Arabidopsis thaliana: one gene and its partner. The protein of the gene in region 1 purifies or fractionates together with the protein of each later gene. This does not show direct contact. Each region holds a gene or a part of one and is shown in the gene's direction. Other genes may lie near its edges.

Region 1 (7,432 bases):
TCATCGCTCGGGGAGTATCTAGAGGTGGAACGGAGGTTTGGAGATGAAGCCGTTTACAACTCCGCCGAGGCAGAGCTAGAGGATGCGGTGGTGGCACGGTACCAAGATCAGCAGCCGGTGATGGGGGAGCGGGCATTGTTCGCTGACGGAAGGGTTCTTCCTCCGGCTTCAGCTGAAGTGGTTACCGGAGAAGGAACGCCGGTAGCCACGTCCCTTTGTAGATTTCCGGTATCTTTAACCGGTATATGCAGCGGTGGTGGAGGATGAATACGTCGGTTCATGTGTGTGTCTTTTATTTGTATTTAGACTTAAATTTTTGTATTTTGTTCGTCGAATCGGAATCATTGTTTGTGGAAAATATAACATGTTGAATGTAGTCATTGTCAAAGTAATTATTTGAGAAATAATAATGATTGATAAGGAGAATTATGAAGGAGATTAATTACAATGGCAATAGTAAAAGATAAGCATATAGAATGGCACACATGCACAGCTTTTGGTGTAAAATGGAGTTGTTCACTTGATTAGAGTTTTTATTTAAAATGCTAAACGTTGTTCTATCATATTGAGTTTTTGCTTCAAATTATTTCATCAATACGTCTTTATACTAGTCAGTCTTTGGACAATAATTTGACCAAATCAGATTTTGAGGCAAACACAATATGATTCTGGCCAGGAGTGTGCCACATTCGTGGTTAATTTTCCACTAGTATTTCTGAAAGTAAAACAATTAACCACAAATCATCCTCATAACATAAGAGGAGAAGATTCCTAACGACGAAGCAAAATTATCGAACAAGTGGACACACACAAGAAACCGAAAATACGGCAAAATGTTTGTTATGTGTATCCATATTTTATACCAATTGAATTAATAAAATAAACTGTAAAAACAAGAAACAATTAATAAAATTAATTTTTTGTTTTACAACGTGAATAAAAAACTGTTGACAAAACGAAAATAAAATAAACCCTCGAGTGATGTTAAAAAAAGGAAGAAGGAAAAAGAATAAAAACTCAAAGGGAACGCAACACACTAAACAAAAACTCTTTGGCGTCCTTCTCCTTAGGGTCTATCTCTCTTATCTTAAGCAGCAGCAGCAGCAGCTAGAACAAAAACGTCACCGATGGCGTCTCAAGCTGCGAATCTCTGGGTTCTTCTAGGTTTAGGTCTCGCTGGGATTCTTATGCTTACCAAAAAGCTGAAGAAGACCGTCCGTGAAGATTTCGGCGCTTTTATCGATAAACTCATGCTTCTTCCCCCTCCGCAACCTGCTCCTCCCAAAGCTCCTCATCCTCTCACCGGTCTAACCTTTGCCGTTTCCGACGTGTGAGTCTCCGTTGACTTGTTTCCCCCTTTCTTCTCCCATATGTTTATCATATCTATATTTGGGGGTTTAGCTGAATGATTTTTTCCTTGGGTAGAGTCAAAATTTTGTTTGACAAATGTTGGAATCTGCGTTGACTCGACTCGTAATCTTCTCCGGCGCACTACATGTCTGATTCTGAGCTTTCGAAAGTATGGTTGATTGATTTTGAGCCGTTTCACTGAAAATTGTGTTTGTTGTAGATTCAAATGTGTGTGTGTGTGTGTGTGTGTCTGCTAGTTTTGTCAAACTCATTTCAAATCGATACTTGTTGAATCTGTTCATTGGAAGGCTCTACTGTTTGATCTCTGTTGCTAGGTGTTTGTATGTTTTAGATTCGTCACCAAGTTTGACCTCGACTTATTCATGGAGTCCTACTTATAACTGTCTCAACATGTTGATTGACTATTTATCTAATCTGTGTATATCTCTCATTCTCTTCTATGATCTTTTGACTTTTGAAGTTCTTGAAAAGCTAATTTACTCTTTCTTTCCTTTTCATTTGTTTTCCAGATTCGATATTACAGGGTATGTGACTGGATTTGGTCATCCAGACTGGGTCAGGACCCATGAAGCTGCTTCGTCAACATCTCCTGTGGTTTCAACTCTCGTTGAAGGTGGAGCCACTTGTGTTGGAAAAACTGTAGTTGATGAGTTTGCGTTTAGGTTTGTCTCTGTTTCATAATGTTAAATTGTTACCTGTATCAGGATTCAGATTGTGATTCCAGTGTTGAAATTTTTATTTTATCAGGATGTTAGTATATTAATTCCTTTGTTTGGCTGTTTTCATTTTCTTCAGTATTAGTGGAGAAAACAAGCATTACGATTCACCTACAAATCCTGCAGCTCCTACTCGTATTCCTGGTGGCGCTTGCAGTGGAGCTGCTGTAGCCGTAGCAACAAATGCTGTGGATTTTGCTCTAGGTGAGTTCAGTAGCTACTTTTTTCCTTGTTTGGACAATTTGGTATGAGATAACCGTATCTTTGAGAAACAAAACATTGCATAAACTTTCAAAACATGGTCAATAATCTTCCTTAGAAAATTTCTGAAACGATTGATAATTTATTTATATTGCAGAAACTTATTTGGCATCTAATAGAATTGCTTGATTTAGACTCTTATGGCTATATGGTAAGATAGTTCCATGCGGATTTATAATTTATATGGTAGTCTGTCATTGGCTCCTCCTATCAGTATCTAAAATTTCAACTGTCTACTGGTTGGTTCGGTTTCAATTGTTTTCAGAGTATAGTTTTGATTACTTGCATCTTTGCAGGCATCGACACAGTTGGCGGGGTAAGAGTGCCTGCTGGATACTGTGGCGTTCTTGGATTCAAATCTTCTTATGGGGCTATTTCAAACACCGGAATCATACCAGTATCTTCAAGTCTTGACTCTGTTGGTATGGATATATAAATCTTTGAATTATACTGTTTGTGGTGGAATGATTTGGATCTTATATAGGCTAGGTTTCAATTGTTGTATAATCACATTGCAAGATTTAGATGCCTTTGTTCGTATGACTAATTTATATTTAGGACCATTAAATGAGCATTACGTTGATTCTGATCAATAGATTTTGGCTTCAGGATGGTTTGCCCGCGATCCAAACACCCTACGTCGTGTTGGCCATGTACTCTTGCAACTTCCATTTGCCACTCAACGGAATCCAAGGCAAATCATACTAGCTGATGACTGTTTTCAGCTGTTAAAGATCCCTGTGGATCGGATTACCCAGGTGGTGACCAAATCAGCTGAAAAGCTTTTTGGAAGTATGCCCTTTACTCTCCCTGAAGATCCTCCAGTCTCTGTTAGAAATTCTGATTATAATAGCATTATCTTGTTTTATATTTAGGACAATTGCTAAAGCATCAGAACTTGGAGACCTATTTTGAAACTAAAGTTCCTAGCTTGAAAGAGTTCGCTAGGACAAAAGCCATTGCTAACACGAAGGTCTCAACATCGAGACTACTGGCGAATGTGATGCAGCTCCTTCAAAGGTGTGCCTATTGTTTATTCACCTACAGAGGATGAAAATATCTTAGTTTTGAACACTCTATAACAATATTGGCATTGTAGGCACGAGTTCCTTCAAAATCATGGGGATTGGATCAACACAGTGAAGCCAGCCATTGATCCTGTGATTTTATCACAAGTGTGTGAGAACCCAGAACTAACCAATGAAGAGACTGAGAACCTGAATGCTATCAGAAACGAGACTCGAGTGGCTATTGGTTCACTTCTCAAGGTATTCCTGCTCTTCCATGACATGTCCACAACTTGAGCGAGTTAGTTTATATGTCTCTTGACTAATCTCTAATGGTTCCCAACTCTGTAACGTTATGTATCAAGGATGATGGCATTCTGGTAATTCCAACATTGCCAGCTGTTCCTCCAAAACTTGGTAGCAAGGAGATAACATCTGAAGACTATCAAAACCGAGCTTCAAGTCTGCTTAGCATTGCTAGCATATCAGGATGTTGTCAGGTTAAATCTCTCTCTTTCTCTCTCTCACCTGCCATGCTAGTAAAGTTCCCCTCACACATGTTAAAAGCAACCACTGACCAGTCAGTGTTAGCAAAACCAATCCACAGTATATGTGTCTTACATTTATCGTGCTGATGATTCAGGTGACTGTGCCACTCGGACATCATGAGAAATGCCCTATTTCAGTTTCTTTCATAGGAAGACACGGTGGTGACCGCTTTTTACTAGATACAGTGCAGACAATGTATCCATCTTTGCAAGAGTACTCGAGTATTGTTACCGATCCCAAATCTTCTAAAAAGGCTATCACCAAAGAAGAGTCAGCCGAGATTGCCAAAGAGAAGGTCAATTAATATCCATTGCATGTCTCATTTTCTTAATGGCATTATCATCCATAATCTAATGTGGTTATTATATCTTTGTGTCCCGTGATTATGTAAACCAGGGTAACCAAGCGTTCAAAGAGAAACTATGGCAGAAAGCTATTGGTCTATACTCAGAAGCTATAAAGCTAAGTGACAACAATGCTACCTATTACAGTAACAGAGCTGCTGCATATCTTGAACTTGGAGGGTAAATGTTTCTCAGATCCTTAAAAATACTTTTTAGTGAGCAAATCTTTCTATGTGGCATTGCCTTGACAAATCATTTACATACAGCTTTCTTCAAGCCGAAGAAGACTGTACCAAAGCCATCACCCTCGACAAGAAGGTAACTTTCATTAAAACACAGAAACAGGTTTCTCTTGAAAAAAAAACACTCTTTACTTTGTAAGAACACACAACACAAAGATCGTTTTTGATTTCTTTCAGAATGTTAAAGCCTATTTACGAAGAGGAACCGCAAGAGAAATGTTAGGCGATTGCAAGGGAGCCATAGAAGGTAAGCTTTAAAGAACATAATCTGATTGTTTTTTCGCCTTGTAGAATCTGGCAGAATATAACATAAACTCTGCAGATTTCAGATACGCACTTGTGCTGGAACCAAACAACAAACGAGCGTCTCTCTCAGCAGAGAGACTGAGAAAATTCCAGTGAGCTTCTTTTGTCCGTACCTCACCGATCATTGAGAAAACGTTTGTTCCTTAGAATTTGTCCAAGAGTATAGGCCAATTTTGTCAACACTTGTCTTTTGCGTCTGATATTTAGGCATTTTATCTAGAGATACCTTTTGCAAGTCCGCCGAGAATGGAAAATTATAATATCCGATGTTTATTTTAAACGTTCTCTAAAATTGGATATCAAAAAGTAATGTTAATCTTAAACACCGGATACCGGCATTCCCGGTCGACTTCTAGTCAGCGTAGCGTCAAAAATAAGGTCATGTCTTTAACTATCTTGTCTTTATCATTTTCTTTTCTCGCACGTTATCTCCTCCCCACGACTCAAAAAAAATAAACAGAAAAAAAGAGGAGTAGAAACCAAAGAGACCTGCCCTAATATTTAGCGATGATAGTTTGAACGGAACGAAATCTGACGAAAGAAACTAAAGAGACCTTTGAATTATCTTCACGGGTGAGTTGGTTCGTTTAACCTTTTTTCTTTATCTCGGTTGTGCTTTTCCCCGAGAATTAAACGTGTGTTGGTTGCAGCGTTAACAAAAAAAAAGGGTTGTAGAAAGTGAGTAAGGAAGAAATAATCAGGAACATTAATAAAGGAAATGACAACGGCGTGTCCGGCGAGGACAAGCTCACTAATGGACGATCTCTTGGGCCTCCTTAGAATCCGTATCAAACGTGGCGTCAATTTAGCCGTCCGTGACATCAGTAGCAGCGATCCTTACGTCGTCGTCAAGATGGGCAAACAGGTTAATCCATTCATCATTTTACAACTTCACATGCAATTTCATTACATCAAAAACATTCTCAAATTATCATATTAAATCTTACAGAAATTGAAGACTCGTGTCATTAACAAAGATGTTAATCCAGAATGGAATGAAGATTTGACTCTCTCCGTCACAGACTCCAATCTTACCGTCCTCTTGGTACTTTTTACTTACTAAAACATACATTAATTTCCTTATCATAAGATGTTTATATTGATAAAACTATAATGTTATATGTAGACGGTGTATGATCACGACATGTTTAGCAAAGACGACAAGATGGGCGATGCTGAGTTCGAGATAAAGCCCTATATTGAGGCTTTGAGGATGCAACTCGATGGACTTCCTAGTGGAACCATTGTGACCACGGTTAAGCCAAGTCGTCGTAACTGTCTAGCCGAGGAGTCACGTGTCACCTGGGTCGACGGCAAGCTCGTCCAGGATCTCGTTCTCAGATTGCGACATGTGGAATGCGGAGAGGTCGAGGCTCAGCTTCAATGGATTGACCTCCCTGGCTCCAAGGGTCTATGAATCTTTTTTCTTTTCTTATTTACCGTTACTTTGAGTTGTTTTCTTTCAAATTGAACTAAACCAAGTAACAGCATGGAAAAAAACAAGTAATTTCAATCTTGAAGGATATAGTGAACTAGAAACACGTATTAATCCATGGAAATATAAGGATTAAGAACGTTGAGGGAAGTTTTGTTCCCATATGGTGATCGAGTCCAAGTCGAGTCGTGGTGGTGGATATGTAAATGTGGTGTATTGTTGATGTGTATGTATATTTGGGCTAGCTATGCCTTAAATAAGGCATTTACACGAACAACTAATACAGATATTTTATTTATTTAATTATCGTTCCATATACTTATGAATGGTAGATTGTTTTAACACATGTGATGTACTAATGTTTATAGGTAAAAAGTGAAAAAAAGACCAGCATATTACCATTTACCATCGACATCGATAGGCCTTTTTTAAACCATTGACATTGGAGGTTTTATGTGTACGTTACTGAAGCACAACTTATGTAATTTTTGTGAACAAGATTTACTTGTACATTAGCGCTAATTAAGGTCATAAAGAATAATGATGAAGAAAGAATAAAATATCGAAGGGAAAAAGCCAGAAGCCACAAAAGGGATGGTAGGTGAAGAGAATCCAGATGTACACTAATGAGTGAAGCACCATGGTTTTATAACGACAAAACACGTGAGCCATAATTGTCCTTTACTATGAGTGGCACGGCGACTTTACAATAATGTGTCAAACGACCGTGACAAGAGTGAAGTGTAGTACTAGTATGTGATATTTTTCTCTATTTAATAAAGTAAAAGATTCGACTGTAGTATGATAGTATTGAGATATATTCTAAATTATGTATAAAGTTTGATAGATCCCAAGGGACCCAAATCTCGTTCCCCAATGAGCGATCTAGAGATTCCTCTTCCACCAACTCCCCAAAGTAGTCAACATTTTTTTACCAAAACAACGATTTATTTGTAGAATAAAATCTGTCAACATATATATTGCATATAAATGCAATTGCAAATGTAGTTAAAAATATATATAAACCATAACTTAAAATGAGTGACAGCACAACATTAACTAAAATACGCTTATTATTATTACCGGTTTTGACCAAAACAAAAAAAATGGAGATATTTGTTTAATTACCGACTGATTTGATTTTACAGTCTGTAAAAAAGGCCGAAGTCGAAGGTAACGCCACCGTTTTCCACCTATAAAA
Region 2 (6,859 bases), on another chromosome or scaffold:
CGAAAAAATTTGATAGGGCCAATAGCCTATCAAGGTTTTTCTCGTCATCAATAACCAGTTTTTTGTTCTGGAATCCTGTATGATTGGTGTACATATATAAGTTCTATATATAACCTACTAAATATTTAAATATATTTTGTTACTATATGTTTTTTACCTGACCGACGAGAAGATGAGCAGTGGACTGTCTTTTGCCTAAGACACTAATTTTATTGTAAGCCATACCGGGGTAGATTGTCTTATGGACTTGGACATATCCTCCTCGACATAACACATTGTAGCATCCGTTTTGGTGTCGATTTGACTGTAATATATAAATAATAAGTACTTATTTGATAACTAGCACATCAAAAACGAAAGATATTAAAAGTCATTAAGCTTGACATTTGAATTGAAATATAAAGTAAAGATCACTTACTATCCAGTATGTTGTTAACCTTGGGCGATCATCTCGGTACAATCCTATATGCACCTAAAAGAAGATCAATTGTGCGATAAGTTCTTAATTCGGCATATGATGATTCTTATGGACAGCTAGGTTTTGTAGTATACTTACTGCCCAACCAAATTGGATGCTGCTTATTACATCTTTTTCTCTGTGATTTAGCCAAATCCAAGCTTTACTAAATTGATTTCTCAATACTCGTGGTTTGTAAATATTGAAAACCGCTTGCGCTCCACCCCATATCTTTGTGTAATTCTCAAATGGTCTAATAATTGCATACTAACCAAAAATAATTTATCATGTTAGTAAATTATATATAAAAAGTCGCAAAAACAAATTCTATAACTATTTTTAAAATACTGTAGTTTAACATCGTGGTTAAAATACTTACATGTAGATTGGCTTCTGTAATTATTCTATTCGGTTGGACAAAGTCATTAGTATAGTTAATTTGCGGTATGTGAATTGGTACTTGTCCTTTAGGACACCTTTCTTCTGCTTTACCAGTGAATAAATCTGATGTTTCCGGCTCCGTCGATACCGTGGTTTGAAAATCGACACTTGGTCTCATCTAGGATAGAGACAAATAAGCACTTGATAAATAATTTTGATATGAAATTGTGTATAGATAAACTCATCTTTCTAATGATCATGAACCCACATACCTGGATTTGGTGATCTTTCATCAATGGATGTTGAAATGCAGGTTGCTTATAGATATCCACACATTCGTATTCTATTTCTTTCTGCGATAAACATTAGATATATGAGTCAAATTACATGCAAATAATGTATTAACTGAATATCGAAATTTTGTTTCTTTTGCTACCTGAACTGTTTGAGCAATGTGATAAGAACAAAGATATATGAAGATGTATAATAAACAGTACGAAGCCATAGATTATTGTTTTGATCGATCTTAATCTGCTTTCCAAAACTAACATAGTGTAGTATATTGTATATATAATCTTGACAAATTACTAAAGAAATCCAAACTCTTAACGTTATCTGGTCTTAAGTCAGCGTCACTGAATTATATTAAAGTGATTATACCAAAAGAGACATGATTGCCAACAGAAAGTCAAGTTTCTGATGATTTTGTTCCTAATTTGCAATGATATTTCGTACTTAGCTTCTATAGCTTATAATAATCGCTAATTGTTGCAATTTAATATCCTATCTCCAAAAAATGCATGACTCACACAAATCAAAATAAAACGTAATATATATAGTTATTATACATGTTTTCCAAACGTTATTTTTAACATTTTAGTTTAAATGTATTAGTATTTAGTATATACGCATTGATTTAGATACTAATGGAGATACTATTACATTTTAATATTAATATTTTACCTTTTATTTTTTTTGTTAATAAAAAATAAAACTGCATACTAATATATTTTTATAACATGAAACAGCATAGAATTTTTTTAATTAAAATTCATCAATGGGTCTCCCAAGAAATGGGCAAAGCATTGGGCTCCTACACATGGCAAACAATTCCAAAAAGGAGATAAAAACAAAAAATGAAGCCTTCACCAAATGGGAGGATCAGATCTTGTTGAAGACCACTAGCAATGATTCGAAGCAATAATACCAGCAAATACATGACCTACGGCGTTGCGGCAGTGGCACTGAACCGGAACCATCGACGGAAGTATTCGGTTCACATCTCCGCTCCCTTTCCGACGACCCACCATACCCGCAACAAGTCTCACACAATGTTTAAGCTCAATTTCCGACAAAATTGTTAGTATACATATACTTATAGACCAAGTGGATTGGATATCGTTAGTTAGTCACATTCTTTTCTTTATGATTAAGCCAAACGCAAGCTTGACTAAACTAATCATTCTCTACTTTTACTAAACACAGCTTGCGCTCCAGCCCCCACCCATTTGTTGAGTTCAAACTCGAAATCTTTCTTGTCTTCCCTACATAATGTATATATCATGTAAATTTGTTACCAATTCTTTGATTCTTTCAGTAATCAACAAGTGCTTATAAACTCAATAACAAGGTGTTTGCGTAATAAATATATTAAAAATAATTTTACTACTTTTAACTTCAAAATTAAAATGGCATCCTTATGAAGGGCTCTTCCTTGTCAAACTTGTTCATGCCTTTTTCTTATCAATCTGTTCTCGGAGCATTTTCTCTGCGAGTTTTCTCTTTGAAGTCTCTTCCCTACCACCTTGCTAAAAGATTCCTCTCCACTTGTTTGTTCCTAGTAAATCTTGTACTGTATAATAAGGTCTCTCTCGGATGTCCTCTTCCACCGTTTCTCTCCCAAAATTTTCTCCCTACAACTTTTTTTTAAGAACAAGTGTGAATCAAGTCCAAAAAAGTTGATCTTTATATCATCTTTTTAAAAACTCCTCTTAAAATGTTATTTATTTAATGTTTATTAAATATAATATATTTCTCTTTTTTATTTTTTTAATTTTATTTTTGAATAACAGGAGGTTCTGGACCGAAGTCCGTAATCCCTCTAGACCCGAAACCACATAATGTAATATTAGTTTCGTCTCAAGCGTCACTCGAACTGGCGACCTCTAAGGTTCGCCTAAAATCTTTACCAATTGAGCTAACGACACTTAATTTATTTTTTTAATAATCACAACTCCTTTGCATATATATTTATTTTTAGTTATAAAAAAATCTTTTTATTTTATTGTTAAAGAAAAATAATTTTATTGTTGCAAATTGTAGATTTGTCAAAGATTCATTAGATTTGTCACTAAATATAATACCCAACCAAAATGATATCTAAAAGAATTAATGAAACGTGAGTATATTTGTTTTCAACGACTAAAGAAACATATAAACAAAACTTATAAAAATATGAAATTGTTTTTGATAATTTCAAATGACAAAATAAAAAACTACAAACAATTTTCATCTCTAAGATTTCATTTTTTTCACCAAATAAAACCTACGAATATGAGTTCTTAAACAATAAAATAAAATCACCACACTCTTTAAAAAAAAAGAAACTTATACGAAAATAAGACTTATTCTCTTGAATAAGTAACAAATCCAATAGTTTATAACAGAAACTCCAGGTCATCTTTCTTTAAATATAAACAGATTCCATTTTTTGCATTATACACCCTTCCACTCTCACGTATATATATTTCTTACTTTACCCTTACTATTTAATATAATTCCATGTTTACCCTTCATCTTCCCTCTAAAATCCAACACAGAGAGATTTCAACGCTAAATAAAGAGAGAGAGAGTCTAAAAGCTCGTCGTCGTCTTCAATGGTGAATCTCAAACCAATTGGATAAATAAAACAAAACAAAAAAAACTTCACAAAAAAAAAAAAAAGATCCAAATTACAACCATGCCTTCGGAGTTAACACCAGAAGAACGATCGGAACTAAAAAACTCAATCGCCGAGTTCCACACATACCAACTCGATCCAGGAAGCTGTTCATCACTCCACGCGCAACGAATCCACGCGCCTCCGGAACTCGTCTGGTCAATCGTACGACGATTCGACAAACCACAAACATACAAACACTTCATCAAATCCTGCTCCGTCGAACAAAACTTCGAGATGCGCGTCGGATGCACGCGCGACGTGATCGTCATCAGTGGATTACCGGCGAACACATCAACGGAAAGACTCGATATACTCGACGACGAACGGAGAGTTACCGGATTCAGTATCATCGGAGGCGAACATAGGCTGACGAATTACAAATCCGTTACGACGGTGCATCGGTTCGAGAAAGAGAATCGGATCTGGACGGTGGTTTTGGAATCTTACGTCGTTGATATGCCGGAAGGTAACTCGGAGGATGATACTCGTATGTTTGCTGATACGGTTGTGAAGCTTAATTTGCAGAAACTCGCGACGGTTGCTGAAGCTATGGCTCGTAACTCCGGTGACGGAAGTGGTTCTCAGGTGACGTGAAAATGAAGAAAAAAATATGATTTAATTTCTTTTATTAAAAACAAAATCCAGAAATGTTATTTATGTTGCTTCGTATAAGATTCTCTTCTTCTTTTGTCTGTTTTTGCTTTTTTAACCTCATATAGTCATATTTTTACCATTTTCTTATGATGAGAATGACGTGCAAGGTTATTTTGGGCATTTTATGTTTGTGGATAACTATGAATCTTTCCATTTTCGTTAGGTATATTCCGGCGAGTAAGTCAAAATTTTCGGCTATGCAACAAACTCTCATAAAAAGTTACAAAAAAACTTACTATAAAGTTACCAAAGGTTTATTTGACACAAAAAAAAAAAAAGTAAATAACCATTCGTGTAAGGTTTTACTTTTCTTTGAATGTAAAAAAAAAGAAAGGTTTTCCTTTTCTTTTCCTTTTGTTAAAAAAACATGGGGATAAGATTTTTTTCACGTGTTTTTTGCTGTTATTGCTTTAAGTATGGTAGATTTAGTGTGTGATTCGTATGAAATTGTAATTACTTTTCATAGATTTCGCTTTTTTATCGATTACTTTTACATAATGTCCATGAACAAAACTTTAGTTTTTTTTCCCATGAACAAACTTTGTAACATATCGGTTGCCAAAAAAAAAAAAAACTTTGTAACACATGAACTCCCGATTTATTAACCAAACAACAACTTTTTTAAGAGTGGTAAAACGATAAAACAAATTGTGAAGGAAGAGATAGAGAAGACTAAAAAAACCATAAGTGGAAGTGTTTTAAGTTTTAACGAAGATGGTTTTAAAAGTGTGTGCCGTTTTTCATTCAGATTCGGGTTACCTTTTGCACTATAGTCAGGCTAGTGTCCCACTTGACTTGAATATATCACCATCATGTTTTATATAATTTATTGTTACAAAATTTGATGTGGGGAATCCATTATATGATACTATAACAATTTGTATATTTTATTATCGAATTTCAGCTGGATCGAGACAATAGCGAAAGGCCACTTTTATATTTTGTATAGTACTATTTTTAATTTCCTATTTGCAAACTTAAGACGAAGATCTTCTAATTAAGGCAAAGGTGATGATGATGTTGGTGCAAGTTGTGCCAGCTTGGTTAAATGTTGCAAGTTGCCAACTTGGTTATTAAACGCCGACACAAAGGTAGATTGAAAAATTAGTAGTATTATATTTGCGCAAAAAGTGGAAAATGAAGGAATACTACTAATTGCATGTACTTGAAGTCTTGAAGTTGATGATGGATGGTTGAGCCAATTAGAAGATCGATATTTTGAGCATCCTCACCTACTTTAATCATTATCATCGTTAACGTCAAATCTTTCTTTCATTTTTTTAGTTACGACAACGAGATCTAAATCTGAATAATATTTATATATCAAATTATACGTTGAAATTATCATGTTATGGAAAGTCTAATGGTTTATTAAATTATCAGATAATTAATTAGCAAAGTAGGTATATCGAATTAGACTTTTCCCTAGAGACAATGTGCCAAATACCTAATATATATTTAGGTGGTAGAAATGTATAATATCAAATATTGGGATAATCAAAAAATTTAGTCGAAATGACGATTGTTGTAAATAACAATAGCATGATACAATTATATAACTAAGTATTTTTACTCATCTAGTTATGAATGAAAGATTCAATAAATGTTGTTGTATGTACGGAAGACTCAATAGCGGTCACAGCTCTCTTGGCAAAGACAACAAACCACTCCTCGCTCGAGTCTTCAAAGTCATCTTCATCGCAAAACGATGATAGCAATGACTAAAGAGAAGAATTAGAGAGCAGTCTAGTAGATGGACAGTGATTCCTTACGAAATGTAGTGCATACATTTGAAACTGCTAAGGAGTAGATTATAGCCTATAATAATTTAGAAATTTCTAAAACCTTTTGACGCTCAATTAGGGTTGGACACGTTAGATGTTGCGTAATGTCCTAATTACGTTTTGTGTTAAAAAGTGTTTTTTTTTTCTGTGTGATATCCTTTTGTAGATTTTGATAAATGATGTCTCGACTTATATTTATAAGAAAGATCTCACCAAGGTTTAGATACCGAGTATTTAACTTATGGTGTTTGGCGTATTCACATGTTGGCTATTCGCATGAATAATGCGTACTGCGTAGTATGTTTTTTTTTTATAAAGTACTACTGCGTAGTATGTATGTTATGTATGACAAGGCAACAATCCTCTAAGGAGCAACAATCCTCTAAGAAGCAACAAAAGACTTCTCCTGTTCCATCTCAGTCCTATTGACGTATCTGCGAGAATAAGTTCGTGCAATGAAATATTTTGTACTCTCTCATCAGGAAATGTTTTGTTGTGAATTTGCTAACTATTCATTAAGTTTGTTGATTGACGCTATTCCGCTAACTCTCGTGCTAAAACTGAATTTGTCCATTCAAGAATCAAGCCTTTGTATATATATATATATATCTGATTTCTCTTAAACGATAGATGTAATGAATC

What was found. Proteins that work in one complex are often made in the same cells at the same time.
Region 2: the proteins of C2 (region 1) and PYR1 purify together in Arabidopsis thaliana (affinity purification with western blotting, with the first as the bait; one study listed by BioGRID). This does not show direct contact.

Annotation. Positions count from the first base shown.
Region 1 is NC_003074.8:6,146,903-6,154,334, forward strand, and holds C2 (Calcium-dependent lipid-binding (CaLB domain) family protein), read left to right. Parts: upstream 1-5,159; 5' UTR 5,160-5,369; intron 5,370-5,446; 5' UTR 5,447-5,514; coding exon 5,515-5,661; intron 5,662-5,745; coding exon 5,746-5,841; intron 5,842-5,922; coding exon 5,923-6,213; 3' UTR 6,214-6,912; downstream 6,913-7,432. Other genes in the region: AT3G17950 (uncharacterized protein), read left to right, coding at 1-267; TOC64-III (translocon at the outer membrane of chloroplasts 64-III), read left to right, coding at 1,128-1,330, 1,881-2,033, 2,167-2,291, 2,645-2,770, 2,958-3,140, 3,224-3,368, 3,448-3,616, 3,721-3,855 and 5 more. UniProt on the Arabidopsis thaliana protein: Mediates the transient calcium-dependent interaction of PYR/PYL/RCAR abscisic acid (ABA) receptors with the plasma membrane and thus regulates ABA sensitivity. Stimulates the GTPase/ATPase activities of YchF1, and regulates its subcellular localization.
Region 2 is NC_003075.7:9,924,995-9,931,853, forward strand, and holds PYR1 (Polyketide cyclase/dehydrase and lipid transport superfamily protein), read left to right. Parts: upstream 1-3,592; 5' UTR 3,593-3,797; coding exon 3,798-4,373; 3' UTR 4,374-4,881; downstream 4,882-6,859. Other genes in the region: AT4G17860 (carboxyl-terminal proteinase-like protein, putative (DUF239)), read right to left, coding at 1-75, 158-304, 419-472, 557-724, 837-1,016, 1,111-1,191, 1,275-1,343. UniProt on the Arabidopsis thaliana protein: Receptor for abscisic acid (ABA) required for ABA-mediated responses such as stomatal closure and germination inhibition. Inhibits the activity of group-A protein phosphatases type 2C (PP2Cs) when activated by ABA. Can be activated by both (-)-ABA and (+)-ABA.